Linked DNA regions of Nothobranchius furzeri. The protein of the gene in region 2 interacts with the protein of the main gene of each other region in a pairwise test. Links are inferred from orthologs where the notes say so. Each region holds a gene or a part of one and is shown on either strand. Other genes may lie near its edges. The genes, in order: receptor-type tyrosine-protein phosphatase F, ppfia1, ptprsa and txlna.

The links.
Region 1: the proteins of ppfia1 (region 2) and receptor-type tyrosine-protein phosphatase F interact in a two-hybrid assay, tested with the Homo sapiens proteins (2 studies listed by BioGRID). The link is inferred for Nothobranchius furzeri from reciprocal best matches to the Homo sapiens genes PPFIA1 and PTPRF.
Region 3: the proteins of ppfia1 (region 2) and ptprsa interact in a two-hybrid assay, tested with the Homo sapiens proteins (2 studies listed by BioGRID). The link is inferred for Nothobranchius furzeri from reciprocal best matches to the Homo sapiens genes PPFIA1 and PTPRS.
Region 4: the proteins of ppfia1 (region 2) and txlna interact in binary tests that used the Homo sapiens proteins (3 or more experiments, as listed by UniProt). The link is inferred for Nothobranchius furzeri from reciprocal best matches to the Homo sapiens genes PPFIA1 and TXLNA.

Annotation. Positions count from the first base shown.
Region 1 is NC_091751.1:44,754,004-44,758,009, forward strand, and holds the start of receptor-type tyrosine-protein phosphatase F, read left to right. Parts: upstream 1-1,168; 5' UTR 1,169-1,391; intron 1,392-4,006. UniProt on the Homo sapiens protein: Possible cell adhesion receptor. It possesses an intrinsic protein tyrosine phosphatase activity (PTPase) and dephosphorylates EPHA2 regulating its activity.
Region 2 is NC_091749.1:65,271,929-65,275,494, forward strand, and holds part of ppfia1 (liprin-alpha-1), read right to left. Parts: intron 2,423-3,566; coding exon 2,321-2,422; intron 1,969-2,320; coding exon 1,804-1,968; intron 1,721-1,803; coding exon 1,646-1,720; intron 491-1,645; coding exon 389-490; intron 1-388. UniProt on the Homo sapiens protein: May regulate the disassembly of focal adhesions. May localize receptor-like tyrosine phosphatases type 2A at specific sites on the plasma membrane, possibly regulating their interaction with the extracellular environment and their association with substrates.
Region 3 is NC_091748.1:63,780,117-63,783,682, forward strand, and holds part of ptprsa (receptor-type tyrosine-protein phosphatase S), read right to left. Parts: intron 2,184-3,566; coding exon 1,590-2,183; intron 577-1,589; coding exon 482-576; intron 273-481; coding exon 22-272; intron 1-21. UniProt on the Homo sapiens protein: Cell surface receptor that binds to glycosaminoglycans, including chondroitin sulfate proteoglycans and heparan sulfate proteoglycan.
Region 4 is NC_091751.1:3,230,640-3,234,958, forward strand, and holds the start of txlna (alpha-taxilin), read left to right. Parts: upstream 1-1,511; 5' UTR 1,512-1,524; coding exon 1,525-1,624; intron 1,625-2,024; coding exon 2,025-2,204; intron 2,205-4,319. UniProt on the Homo sapiens protein: May be involved in intracellular vesicle traffic and potentially in calcium-dependent exocytosis in neuroendocrine cells.

The DNA.
Region 1 (4,006 bases), on a different chromosome or scaffold from region 2:
CATAAACTAGTTATTATGTTTAGGGGTTCATTGCTCATGTATATGGAGCCAAATTGGTTTGGATAGCCTTTTACTCTAAGTGAAACAATAATTTAAAACAAGTTGTTTTTTTGCCTAATACCTTTATTTGGTGATCTGATTATCATTATTTAAGTGTCACAAAAAATAATGACAGAAGTAACTTTTAAGGCAGCAAATACTTTCATTGTCAACAATGCAGGTGTCGTAATTTTACTCATACATTTTGCTTTCTAAATGTTACAATGTACAATTATTACATATATAACATTACACAAATTAATTTGTGTTGAAAATGAAAATTGAATAAACTTGAAATAAAATATTTTAATCCAAACAATATGCAGGTAAACCATAATGAATATTAAATGGTTCACAAATAAACACAAAACAGTCCAAATTAGCAAGCAGACATCAAAAAGAGGTTTAAACTGCATAGTTCACAAGATTATTTTCTTATACAAATTAGCATTATGTAAATAAACTAAACCTAATGGATTTCAATCAAGCAAAACATAAACAGAATAGAAGAAAATCAATAATGTGCTTTAAAAAATAAACAAATGCCCAGAATGAATCTGCTTTGTTTGCATTTATAACATGTCTTTATTTGTTGGGGTCTTTTGGACTTTAGTGGGATTAGAGAGGGGATCGGGGGGCTTTTCCACGTCTGTGCCCATGGGTCCATTGTTTTGCTAATCCGTCCCTGTCCTGAGTCATAATCTTCTCACAAATTCACCTTATGTCTCATTTAAGATGCTGCTTTGAGCAAATGGAGAATTAAAGTGTCTGTTTTGTAGTCGTTTAAGTTTGGTGCGCGTTTTTAAGGAGGACTCGAGGACAGACACGGCAGCGGCGAGTGTAGCCGAGTGGATCCGGAAAATCCCGCTGACCGACCTGTGAGCGTTTCCACCACGGAGGCAGAGAGACGCGGTAACTGCTAGGAGAGAGACGGAACAACTCCTTCTGCGTGCGGGGCGACTGTGGACCGACTTCTGCACGCCAGTTAACTTCGAAAGAGGAGTATTTCACATTCAAGAACATAAACGCCACTTCTCCTCTCCCCGTGATTTGTTGGCACCGACATTGAACATTTGAGCGAGGTTTACGTTAACCCGTTTGCGGCGCGGAGGAGCTGCCACGAATAGATCCAGTATCCACGACCCTGGTGGGACCTCGTGTTACTTCCCCCGGAGGTGGACTCCTATCGTTCCCCCTCTGTCTTTATTCATTTTTTTCTGGGTTTGGTTCCAACTCCTCCGTTTTGGTTAATTGCATGAAGTGGGATTGCTTCAAAGTGAAGAACGGAACTAAATATTTTGTGGTTTGGAGAAGGAGAGAAATGCCAACGGCGGTGACAAAGAGGAGATTCAGTAAGTGTGTAATCTTCTCTGCATGTGAACTTGATATTCCGTTCCGTTAAGTTACCGGACTATATAAAACAATCAGAATTGTACGCAATTCCCCGAGCATGTCCGTGCTTTAGAATAGAAAAGGTGTAACGGGAGTGGTTAATTAACGCAAATGAGCTCCCGTCTTGGCAAAATACCGAGCGAACGTCAGACAGCCTCATTTAAATGTGTATATTTGCTGTTTTATTCATTCCGGCTTGCAGCCAGCAGCAACTTTTATATCAGCTCCAACTGACTGAGCGTTTGAATTGAGCAGTGCTTTTATTATTTTTCCATAATGAGCGTGCATGTGATTTAAAAACGAGGCAGAATATTAATGTCATTCACTTCGAACCTGAGTTCCCTTGCCCGCGTGCACCTCTCTGTGGGCAGCTTGACGTCGCAGCAGTCTTTGCAGGGATGCAATTTTCAACCAAGCAACAAATCTGTCAAAAAAAGCTAAATGAAATAAAAATAAATGTGCACAGGCTCCTCTGTGGGGGGTCTGACCTTACTTTGTTCTTTAATATCCTGTTGCAGCGTGATTTGCTGCTCCTATATGTATATTATGTATCATAATAATAATGACTTGACAGCAGATTTTGCGCGTGCACATCACGCGCGTGCACCCCTGCAAGCACGCGCCCTCAGGCACAGATTTGAGTTTTTGCGTTTCCATCAAGTGCAAAAGCACCTGTCATGCTTTTAAACCGTTCCCTGTTGCAGCACTGGCTCCCAGCAGGCTTCATTTGCAGAATCTGCACCTCACAGCAAATTTGTGTTTAAAAAATGTAAATATACATGTGTGTTTATGTGTGTGTGTGTGTGTGTGTGTGTGTGTGTGTGTACATGTAAATGAGTTAATCTTAGATATTGAGTGACATCATTTCCAGGTGGTATTTCTTATAATTATACAGGAGGTCTCATCGCATCAACCATTATGCCCTCATTTCTTTTGGAACCGGAAACTAGAAACCGTTTTCCAGGGTAACACACTTCTGCAGCTCCAACACACTTCTGCAGCTCCATTGCCACAGTTTATCAATACACACATTTTTAATTAAAGCTGCCACAGACACAATGAAGAGACTAAAGATGATGCAGGGTGGGTTAGTTTCTTGGAATTGCATCAGAGGCTTTCTGAAACAGAACCCAAGGCCTATGCTGCATGTTTGGTCTCTATAACCTTCAGACCCTGGCAGCTGAATAGACAGTAACAAGATGCATGTTTGCTCTATATTTGGGGTAATTTTCTATTAAACTGGCCTGCAGATTCTAACCTCTTGACTGCATTTACGTGTAGATTTAGTTTTAGTTGGATCCATCACGTGTTGATTCATGGAGTTGGACTCATTTGTGCAGCAGAACATGAAACAGCTAAATTGCTAAATGTTATTCTGTTATCTAATGGATGGATATATTTGATCATTTAAACCTGTGTTGACAGCTCTGATGGGTGTCATGCTGCTGAAGCATTAGCATTGACTAGATCGGCCGCAGCGGAGCAGTTGGATATTTTTACATAACCTTAATTCTTATTTGAAGGTTGTGAACGATATTCTAAAAACACCATTATTTAGACATGTTTCCTGAATGGTAACAACTTCCCCAAGGTTTTAGATTTACTTTAATCAAAACCCAAAGGTTATTCAAGGGAAAACACGTGACTAACATGACCGTTACTCATGAGGGATCACAGAGTGCCCCACAGTCCGTTGCTACATTTTTTCTTCTTTTGTTCCTCCGCCATAAAGGTGTTTCTGTTGGGGCTTTTGGAGCACTGCCCATGCATGGAAAAAGAGCCAAGGCCCTTAGCTGGTGACATCATTAGCAAGGCGCACTGTGGTGTGCATGCTGGAAAAATGCTAGTGAGAAACATTTGGGAAATATCAGCTCAGTTACAGCGTTGGCCCCTTAGCTGATAAAGCGCTTTAGGGTTGTGGACTAAACTTCTATTCCGATTGTAACTGATTGAGAAATATGACAAAGATGATATGCATTTTTGACCATTTTACAACCTTAAAGGTAGCCATTTTAGTACAGTTTCAAAAAAGTTTAGATATTTCAAAGAATGAAAGAAGGAAATTCACAAATGAAATTCAGATTTAAGTCGAAGGCAAAGTTAAAATGCAGAAGATGCAGCATAAGAAACATTCATTCAAAGGCTGATGAATACATGAATAAAAGCAGCTGTTAGGTTCTGACCCGGGGTTCTACCAGCTGACTGTTTCCTAAGGATCTCAGAGCCCCGCTGGGTGTATATTTTACAAGGAGATCCAACATTTAGTGTATAGGGGTAGGGGGGAATTTTCTACATTTTAAAGCATTGTAGAACCCTAAAATGTGGAAGCCCAGCACCCCAAAAAGTTCATGGAGAGCACATAACAGGAGGGAAACACCTAAAACATGCAGGATAGCAGCCCTTGGGGACCAGGGTTCCTCACCCCTGCTCTAGGAGAACCTCTTTCCTCTGCTGCTTCTGTATTTTGGTGAATCAAGGAATATTAAAGCTCAGATGCACATTAGTCCAGGTATGCCCAAATTGTGGCCCTTAAAGGGATTTTGTGCAGCCCCCAGCAGGCTGTTGATGTAGCCAT
Region 2 (3,566 bases):
AAGGAAATAACTAAATTTGGGGAAGATAACACATTTTTCACTGGGATCTAAATGCAGGGTTTTCACAGCGAGACCTGAGATCGCCGATACTGAACGTCTGTAGTTGAATGTAAACAACACAGCGACAGGGGAGGGGGGACAAAACCCTCCCACCGCTACGCTATTATGGTCTGTCATAACTCATTTTGATGCTGCTGTGAGTTTTGTGGCAGACAGAAAACATCTAGTGGGCGTGATAATAAATACTCGGGATTTAAGTCTGAGACATCTCCACGCCCATCTGCTCCATACAACAATAACCCCCCCCCCCCCCCCCCCCCCCCCCCCCCCCAGTATGGGATTAATTAAAGGAGCTGATAAAGTTCTCTACACAGCGAGTCCTCCTCACCTTGCCGTTGGTGCTGAGCGTGTTTTCAGAGTTGTGGTTGACCTCGCTGGTTCCGTCGGCCAGACCTCGCTTCAGACTGGTCTGCTCCCTGAGGAACGCCAGCTGCGCACAAACATCACACCGAGCCATCAACACGTGCACCTCGCCTACAGCCCTTTACAGCAAGGTTTCACTTCCGGTTATGAAAACACGAGAAAAGTGTTTTGTTATTTACCAAAACAAACATGATTATGAGATCTAAAAATCAGCATTTGGTTTGAGCCCTGAATCTTTCTCAGAGTCGGAACATGCAGATATTTTAAAGAGGATTTCTTCTAATCGTGTCTGGAAAAAGTTCTGAAAGCTTTTTGAAGAGCCGTTTAACAGTTTTAGGTTCAGGAAGACTGATCTTTCGTGAGCTATTATCCAACACGTCGACGTCCTTATCCGAATCCAAGACACAAACTCCAAGAGGAAGAGTCAGACTGAGCAGCTCAGAGGGAATGTAGGACAAACGTCTGACGTCCTCTGGGCAGTCTGACTCCATGTTTGGATCCATCTGACAAATATGTGCTCCTCGTGTCTTTATTTGTGTCTAATTCAGCAGTTCTCTTCTCTTATTGGCTGTTTTTTATTTCTTTATTTATTTATTTTTAAATCTCCTGGTCAGCTAGTCCCACAGAATCTAAATCACTGCGTCACACCTGCTCTGAACTTCCCGCCTCACCCTTTCATATCACGTCCGCCTCAGACGTGGCGCTACCTGCTGAGGTGGGTGTACTCACCAGGGCCTTCTGACGACCGCTATGACGAACAGAGCACACATGTGAATGTTACACGGATGTGAACTAGGAGTCATTTAGTAAAAATGTTTCTCAGTTTTGTTTTTGTCATCATAAAGAAATAAAAGCTGTTAAAACTCCATCATTTCTAAACAGTTTATAGCTTCAAAGTAAATAAATGTCTAATGATTGAAACACTTGGATTTCTGAGTCAACGTGTCTGGGGCAGCATCTAACGTCAAAAACTGTAAACATACATTTTAACTGGGTTTAGAAATAGAAACATATAAATAGACGCTTTCTTTAACTGTTCCTGTTCATTTCTCGCCGTCAGGCCTTTAACGGTTTAGTTGAAAAAAGTACTTGCTGTCATTTCATAAACTAAATGTAAAAAAGCAAAGCAAATCATGAAGTTTTGATAGAATCAGACCAGAGTTTCATTCATAAAACAAACAGTAAAACAGATTAAAGGTGACGATCACTGCCTGCATCTTACTTCCTTGTGTGAGATGGTGAGCTGTTCCTCCAGAGCGCTGCATCGTTCCAAAGCAACACGAAGCCGCTCTCTCACCTTCAGTAGACGACACACAAACCACCCGTCAGAACATCACACAGACCTTTTCTGGTGCCGCACAAACTCGTCACAAACAATACCTTCTCGTCGAGGGCTTTGTGGTGTTCAAAAAGGGACTTCAGAGCTTTGAGGACTTCCACTTCACTGGAGACGCCGGCTGGAGACTGAGCCTGCCTCTTCACCACGGTCATCCTCAGACTACGCTCGTGGCGAGACACCAGGCACTCCAGATGTTCCAGCAAGAGCTGTACACACACACACACACACACACACACACACACACACACACACACACACACACACACACACACACACACACACGAGTTAGAATCATTGATAAAACATCTCCAGCAGCTGCTTCTGGAGGCTAGCACAAGCCTCCATCAGCAGCTGGGTGTGCGAGAACGCGTCTGCTGTCAGATCTGCCGACTGCAGTGACCGTATTACGCCGACTCAGCAGCTTTCCACACCATCGGGTTCTGACAGCGATCGAGATTATAACACAGAATGCGACGTGTTGGGCGGTGTTATGATCACCACCTCTAATCAAAACGGAAGCAGGCAGGAATTTTCCAGGTACGTCCTCACTGAGCTCACCCGGGTGTTGTTCCTCTCTGCCTTCAGCTCCGCAATCTCCTCCTCTTTCTCCAGAAGCTGCTCCCGGCACATGTTCACCTCCTTTGTTAGGGCGGCAAACTCCTAAAACACAAAATAAACAACAAGTGCTCGTTACTTCCTATGAGTACGGCCCTATATGGAAAATACCAGAGGCTTCTGCTCACAAAGTCGGAGTTTCTGGTTCGTTTAAATATCGCAGAGATAAACTGATCACTGATGCAATATTATTTACCCAAGTATGAATAATTACTGTAGAGTACTTGCTGATACTGAGTACAGATATGAGTACTAATAAATGCATTGACATTTTACTAAAAATGCACAAAAAAATGTCTGTTTAGCAGACATATCAGTGATCGGCTAATCAGAAACACAAAAATCTGTTCCAAAAAAAAAAAAAATCAAGTCAAGTTTTCTGGTCCATGAACACACACTTGCTTAGCGCTAATTCAAGCTAGCAACTCTAAGAGCCAAAACAGTATTTGAAGCTTGTCAAAGTTTTTAAATTTCCATTTGAGGTAAGACAACTCCAGCCTTGGAATGAGTGAATGTCTATGTCTCCGTTCCTCTCTCAGACCTTCTTTACACCTCCACTGGCACCCCACAAGGCTGTGTGTTGTCTCCTCTACTCTTCATTCTCTATACAGATGACTGTAGATCCATCCAGCCTGACAGTTATATGGTAAAATACGCTGATGACACTGTGCTCCTGTCTCTTCTGTCAGGCCCTACTGTTTATCACGGGCAGGTCCTGCAGGAGTTTGTGGATTGGTGTGACACTGCATGCCTGGAGCTGAATGTGACCAAAACTAAGGAGATGGTGGTGTCCTTCTCAAACAAACAGAGAGCGCAGGTTACCGCTGCCACCACTATCATTCATGGACAGCCAGTGGAGCTGGTTGAAGAGTATAAATATCTAGGGACCACCTTTGATCAACTCCTGAAATTCGCTTCCAACACCGAGGACATCCTCAGAAAGTGCCAGCAACGACTTTACCTCCTGAAGAAGTTGAATTCATTTGGAGTCAGGAAGGACATTTTACTGACTTTCTATTATTCTTTTATAGAGAGTATTATCACATTTTCCATCCCCTGTTGGTTTTATTCTGTCAGCCTGCAGTATGGAAACCGCCTACAAAGCATCGACGTTGTGGGCGACGGTGGCACAGGAGTTAAATGCTCGCCCCGTAATCGGAAGGTTGCAGGTTCGAGCCCCGCTCAGTCT
Region 3 (3,566 bases), on a different chromosome or scaffold from region 2:
AAGATATTACTTTATACTCACTTCACATCCTTGGTGCTGACTGGTGGAAAGGACATGGTAAGAATGTTTTCAGGCTCAGCGTAGATGTCCAGTTTTGGTTTCTTGACCAGGATATGTGGTGCAGTCCTGGCCACCACACGGTGTCGAGGGCCACCATCCATACTTTCTTGGCAAGTCACCCTAAACTCGTACGTGGTGTTGGGCCTAAGTCCTGTGATAAACATCTTCAACTGCCTGGCGTCCACATCCATCTTTTGACGATTGTACTCAATCTAAAGTAGTGGATGGTTGATCGGCAAATTGTTCAGAATTAAATCACTTTGACAAAACTGAATAACGCAGCTAAAATATGATATCAATGCAAGATGTATTATTTAACAAAATATGCTTTTACACTCCAGCTAAAATCAATTTAATCAATCATTTTCATTATATAGCTAGACTTTCAGAAAGCAATAAATTAAAGTAAGATTTCACTCACCGTGCATTTGTATGGAGATCTGCTTTCAGAAAATTTCCATGCAAGGACTACCGTGGTCTTGGTGACCCACTTAACAGTGAAATTCTTAGGAACATCTGTTAAAAGACAAATGCAAAACAAGGAAAAAATGTGCATCTTAAGTGAAAAAAAGCAGAAAAATAAGAGAAAATCACGAAAACTTTGGTTTTAAAAAAATCAAAGCTGTTCTTTCCCTGCAACGTTCCTCTGAGTTGAAGAGTGAAAGGAAAAGTGAACAGTGATTGGCTGTGAGAAGGGCAATGTCATTAGTTTAGACACAGAGAACACGAGACTCAAGGACAACAAACCCATGGAGCACAAGTTATATGCTCTTTGGCTAGCCATCATTAGTAGTGCAAACCCATCTCACCCACCGACTTTGAACCATGACTACCAGGTGATTAACAGTTAACCCTTGTAGACCCAATGCCAACTGTTGGGACAATGATACAGAGTTTGAGTTGGCACTGCCAATGTGCTGCCACACAAACATTGAGACAGACCCAAAACACTGCATGCCAACAGTTCTGAGCAGTGCATCTGTGGGATGCCATGCCACAAGCTGTCCTGATCAGGGACAGGGAAGAGGGAAAGGAGGCTTCGAGAGGAAGCGTGTTAGGAAGGAAAGGATATTTTAAACCCAAAATAAAATTAAAGTCAAAATAAAAAAAAAATCCTTATTCCTAAAATATTCCAAATGTACTGTTCTAAAGACTGGGATTGACTCCTACCTTGTGTGAAAACTGGGACGTGAAATGGCAAATCTGTGTAGATGTGCTTGAAAAAGGCTGCAAGGACTGACTGGAGGGTCTGACCAAAAAAGTCACTTACCTTTAATTCTATGCTGCTCTCCCCTCTCTCAAAATGACTGACTATAACTTACTGACTTTCATTTTACCTGGTTTGGGTTAGTGAAGCAAGTATTCCATGGCAAGCAATTTAAACATCAATCAATCCTCCATTTGAGGAGAAGTGGAGGTGGTTGAAGAAGTGGGTGAGGACAGTTTTCATTTTTGTGTCGTTGCAGACTGCTTTTAGTCAATTTCCAACCCCTTGGCACTGGGTTGGTAGAGAAACAAGTAAGCCCTACCTGCAGGATCAATGGCCACCGTCCGATACTGGATAGGTGGGCTGTAGGGCCCTGGACCTATACTGGTGTGGGCACGTATTTTCACATCATATGCAGAGTTCGGTTTGAGACTGTTGAGCACAAAGCTGGAAAGGTTGGGTGGTAATCGGAGTTCCAGTGGTGATCCTCCTGCTCCGGCTTCTTTGTAGGCCAAAGTGTACTCTGTGATGACCCCATTCCTCTCTGCCAGCACTGGTGGAGACCAGGAAAGCTGCACTGAGCAGCATGTTATGTTGGAGCCCTCGTTCATTTGAGGGTATCCCCCTGGACTATTCTCAGGAATAGTGAGCTCTGCCACAGCCTCCTCCCCAAAGCCCCCTCTGCTTTTGGCTGAGATCTTAAAGAGATAAGTGGCGCCGCGGTGAATGTTGCCCACAGAATACTGACGCTCTTGGGGAGCAAATTCCAGGGTGGCTAAAGGGGACACATCTTTTCGTCCAAACTGTAGCCTGTATCCCTGCAGGTCCATTCCATTGGTCAGATCTGGAGGATCCCAGTGAACAGTGGCAGATGATTTTGAGTTCTGAACCACTGACAAATAGGGTGGACCAGGTACTAGACAGAAAAAGAGAAGAAAACAAATGTTTACTCGAGTGTACTACATTGTACTATATTGTATGTTGAATGTGAGCTAAACATATCTCAATTACAATGTTTATATCATGGTTGGACATTTTCCAAAGTCAAAAAGAAAAGAAAAGCAGTAAAGTTAGCATGTTTAATCAGACATGTTTACTAGAGCTGCAACAACGAATCGATAAAATTTGATAAAGAAATGTGTTGGCTAAGCTTTGTCATCGATTTGTTGTGTTGCGCAAATTGTTTTGTGTTGTGCAACTTTTGTGTGTGTTGTGCAACATTTAACAGTCGATGCGAGCAGCTCATCTGATGCGGCAGCAGAGCAGACTGAGGCAGATCACAACGAAACACACATATGTCACACGTGTAATTATAGTGTAAGGAAGATGCCTTTTACTGGCACACACTGTGCTAATCTAGGTGCTGTGGAGGAAAACAGAGAAACCAGCAAAGACATGGAGGCAGAAACCATCCAAAGTTTGGGATCAAAGGTGTAACTACAAGCAGATTAGCTAATGCTAGCAGGTAGCAGGCTCGTGATCAAGTGAGTTCCGAAAAAACACGATAGTTGTGAAACTAAGAACATCTAAACTCTGCAAGCTGAAGAAAAGTCCCAATCATCATCCTGTTCATTAGCTGTCTGCAGCGCTACGGAGCAGAACCGCTGCAGTCAGGTTACTGCTGAAGGAAAATGGCAAGCCACTGTAGCATTTAATTCACAAACGCGTCTATCTGTGAACATAATTAAAACTGGATTATTGTTAACCCGTACATAATAGATAAGTCACCATTACATTTTAAATAGTAGAAATTAAATATTAGCATTTCCAGTAGCTTACTACTGAACATGTTAATGAAATACACTAATATTTAGTGATCATAGTTTATTTATGGATATATTAAGGTGATAGCATGTTGTTTAGCAAGCTATTGAACAGTTTTCTAATCATGTTGTGTTGTTAAAGTGAAGGAAGGAGAGAAAAAATGTTTCCCTAACAATTTTTAAACTTTCTCGTTTAATCCAATTAATCAAGTGGAGTCCCCATCCGATTCATCAATGATCCAAAAAATGGTTTGATGCAGCCCTAATGTTTACATTGTGGTCCGACATGCTTGATTGTAACCAATGAGAATTCAAGATTCTCAGTGACTGGCATAAATATTACAAGTTTACAGAAACTAAAGCCATAGAAGCAGTTTATATGAAAGCAGTTTGTATTTAACAGAGACACTGAAGAGCCCATCAATTGTAGAGTGATCACTGTGTCCATTACCATTTCATGTGACATGCAAACAGCTGCCAAAATTATTTCCATATTGCAGAGCATCACAAAAAATTCAAGCAAATAACAATTCTTC
Region 4 (4,319 bases), on a different chromosome or scaffold from region 2:
CGTTCCCAGCAGACCCTTGCAATACGTTTTGGCCTGCCTAGTCTTACCGGCATCCTCCCCCACCATCTGAGCCAACTCACCACCAGGTAGTGGTCAGTAGACAGCTCGGCCCCTCTCTTCACCCGAGTCAGATGAAACAACAACAAAGTCGATCATCGAGCTGCGGCCTAAGGTATCCTGTGCCAAGAGCACATATGGACACCTTTATGTCTGAACATGGTGTTCATTATGGACAATCCACAGAAGTCTAATAACAAAACACCACTCGAATTCAGATCAGGGGGGCTGTTCCTCCCAACCACACCTCTCCAGGTCTCACTGTCGTTGCCCACATGAGCGTTAAAGTCCCCCAGCAGAACGAGGGAGTCACCGGAAGGAGCACTCTCCAGCACCCCCTCCAAGGTCTCCAAAAAGGGTGGGTAGTCTAAACTGTAGTTTGGTGCATAAGCACAGACCACAGTCAGAACCCGTCCCCCCACACGTAGGCGGAGGGAGGCTACCCTCTCAGTCACCGGGGTAAACCCCAACGTACAGGCACCAAGATGGGGGCAACTAGTATGCCCACCCCTGCTCGGCGCCTCTCAGTGGGAGCAACTCCAGAGTGGTAGAGTGCCCAGCCCCTCTCAAGGAAACTGGTTCCAGAGCCAGAGCCATACGTTGAGGTGAGTCAGACTATAGCTAGTCGGAATCTCTCAACCTCACACACCAACTCAGGCTCCTTCCCCACCAGAGGTGACATTCCTTGTGCCAAGAGCCAGCTTCTGTAGCCGGGGATCAGACCGCCAAGGTCCCAGCCCTCGTCTGCCACCCGTCACACACTGCACCTGACCCCTTTGGCCCCTCCCACGAGTGGTGAGCCCATGGGAAGGGGAACCCACGTTTCCTCATCGGGCTGTGCCCGGCCGGGCTCCATGGGTGAAAACCCGGCCAGCAGGCGCTCGCCTACGTGGCCCACCTCTAGGCTTGGCTCCAGAGGGGGGCCCCAGTGACCCACGTCCGGGCGAGGGAACACGGTTTCCATTTATTTTATTCATCATAAGAGGTCTTTGGGCTGCTCTTTGTCCGATCCCTCACCTAGGACCTGTTTGCCATGGGTAACCCTACCAGAGGCATAAAGCCTCATTTAGCTCCTAGGATCATTGGGACACTCAAACCCCTCCACCACGGTAAGGTGGCAGCCCAGGGAGGAAGAGGGAACTACATTTATAAAATTTCAGTAGTTAGTACAAACACTTGCTGTAATTTTTTCTAAATAAAATGCATTTTTGTTAGTAGGTGAACTTGCTGTTTACTATTATTAAACCTTAAATTTTATATTAGCATAGGCCACATGTAAACCATAGTCTTACTAATTTACAAGACAGCTGTTCTGCAATGACAATAAATGTTTAATTGGTTTTTACCAGTTTTATCACTTTCTTGCTAGTATTTTTTTTTACATAGCAGAAAGAAGTTGGTGGCGGTAATGCACCATATCACCATTTGAAACCACCATTGAAAAGTCAAAGAAGAAGAATCAAAGTTATGACCGGAAGTTGTTTTTTTTTTCTAAGCCAGTCAGCTACACGCTGTTCAAGAAACCTGCAGCTCAGAAAAATTAGCCGTTTCCTCCTGGAGTCTTCAGGTAAACAAGTCTGTGTTAACCGTAGAGTCAGGGGAATGAGGTAACGTTTCGCGTCGCCATAGCTTTAGTAGTTTTCTGTTTTTTCTTTTATGGTACAAAGTAACACCGGTTGGGTGAAAGTAGTTCAAGACAATTTTAGCTGCGTGCGTAACTGCTAACGAGGGCTAGCCTGTGCCAGCTAATGTAATCTGGAAGCTAATGGAAACTGAAAATGGTCCGAAGTGAAAGTACACATTTGTTTTCCGTTTTGTACATAAACGCCATGTCTATGTATCCAGAAACGTGCTAATATTTTCGATTTTATGCGTGATTTTAAAGAACTTTATCGTCTGAACAGTTGGTGTATTTTATTGTCAAAGCCTTATTTAGACTCAGCGTTAGTTTCGTCTTTTATTCAAAGAGCTAAACATGAAAAATCAAGACACGGAAGAGTCTACCAGCCCGGGCAGCGAGGCTCCTCCACCTGCAGCTGGAGACACGGACGCTCCACTTCCACCTGCACCTGCTGAAGGCAGCAGCCCCAGAGAGATGGAGCCACAGGCTGGCCCTCCACCACAGGAACAGCAGGGGGAAAGCGGAGGTGAACTGCCTTTGGTTTGACTTTCTTACTCGTCCGTCACACTGTGTGAATTCTCAGTTTTAGAACAAATTAGATGAAACAGCACAAACCTAATTAATGGTTTGGTTGTCATCAGACTGAAGTGGAGAATCTTGTCAGTAATACCTGATGTCATCTGGTTTCAAGATTAACATACTAGAAGTCAAACTTTTATTGATGCAATCAAAGCTTTACTTGTACAATAAAATGGTCTTCATTCTTCACGTGTACTCAATCCATACATATCTAGATTATGTCATTTTTATTGTTATATGTCCTGATGCTGCCGACAAGTTATTTTATGCACTGATGTCATTAAACACAATCACACAGTTTAATAAACAAGAGTTTTTAAGGTTAAGAGATCCATAATAAATTAGTTTTGGGGTATTTTCTCATTACTGTAACGTTGTGTCAAGAACAAACTTACTTCAACATTTAAATAAAAGTAGGCCATCACGTCCTTGATGATATTGTGATAATTGTTTTAATGCCTCAAGTGCGATTCCTTTTAGAAGGCACATCATAAACAAATGAATCCCAACAGTTTTCCGCGTGACTGTGTGGGACACATACCATACCATACCATATTTATTTATTTATAAAGCACCATTTCAAAATAGCATGGCAGCTAACCAAAGTGCTGTACATAAAAAAAGCCAAATGCTTGACCAAGAACCACAATAAGAACAGGCAAAAAACATAAGAACAAAGCATAAATAGTCGGAGATAAAAATTCCTACTAAAAACCATAAAATAGAACAGTTAACAGCACTATAAAAATAAAATAATGCGACGAATAATAAAAACATTTGAAATGTCCCAAATAAACCGAAATAAAATACCAGATGGTGCGAGGTGCCAAAAGTGAGCAACTAAATCATAAAAATGGAATTAAAAACTCAAATCCGGTGCTAGATTGTCATGAAAAGTGTCACGGAGGCAAGGCAATGCTAAAGAAGTGCGTTTTCAGGGCCGACTTGAAACTGCTAACAGAGGGAGCCAGACGCACACGGAGGGGCAGGGAGTTCCAGAGTTTTGGGCTGAATAAGAGAAGGCACGCTCCCCCCGTGATTTGTACCAAACCTTCGGAACAACAAGCAGCAGATGATCTGCTGACCGAAGGGCACGGGTGGGAACATATGGGGTCAGCAGGTCCATCAGATAGGATGGGGATGGGCAGTACAAAGCCTTGTAAACATATAACAGGACCTTGAAGTTAATCCTAAATTAGACTGGGAGCCAGTGTAAATCTGCGAGGATGGGTGTGATGTGCATGCGTCTGTCGGTGTTGGTTAAAAATCTGGCCGCGGCATTTTGAACCTTCTGCAGTTTGCTTAAGGCTGAAGCATTAATCCCAATCAGGACAGAATTTGCGTAATCCAGACGTGAAGTAATGAAAGCATGAATGACTGACTCAAGATGCGGGCGTTTGAGGATTGACTTAAGACGAGTGATGCGGCGGAGTTGGAAAAAGCAGGACTTGACAGTAGCGTTGACTTGTGAAGACATTGAAAGGTCAGAGTCCAGTGTCACACCTAGGCTAGTGGCACCTGATTTGAGATTGAGTGGGAGAGTTGAGACATCTAAAGCACCATTCATGTTAGTGGGGCTAAAAAGTATGGCATCTGATTTGCTGTCATTTAACCGTAGGCAGTTTTGAGAAAGCCAGGATCTGACCTGGGAGAGGCATTCTGACATTATAGAAAATGAGTGCTGTTGGTTGATTTGAAGGTAGATCTGGCAATCATCTGCATAAAAGTGGTAGTTAACCCCGACGAGACTTGCTAAAATCTTACCAAGTGCTAGTATGTAAATTGAAAAGAGGAGAGGACCCAGGATGGAGCCCTGTGGTACTCCCCATGGAAGTGGGACATTGGGAGAAGAGCAGTCTCTAACATGAACACTAAAACACCGACCATTAAGGTACGACTTAAACCATTCCAGGGCAGTACCGGTCACACCCACCCAAAATTGGAGTCTGTGAAGTAGGATGCTGCGGTCAGGTCGAGTAAGAGTAACCGCACATGGGAGCCAGAGTCAGTCAGAATCAGGATGTCATTGAGTACCTGAATGTGTGCAGACTCTGTGCTGTAA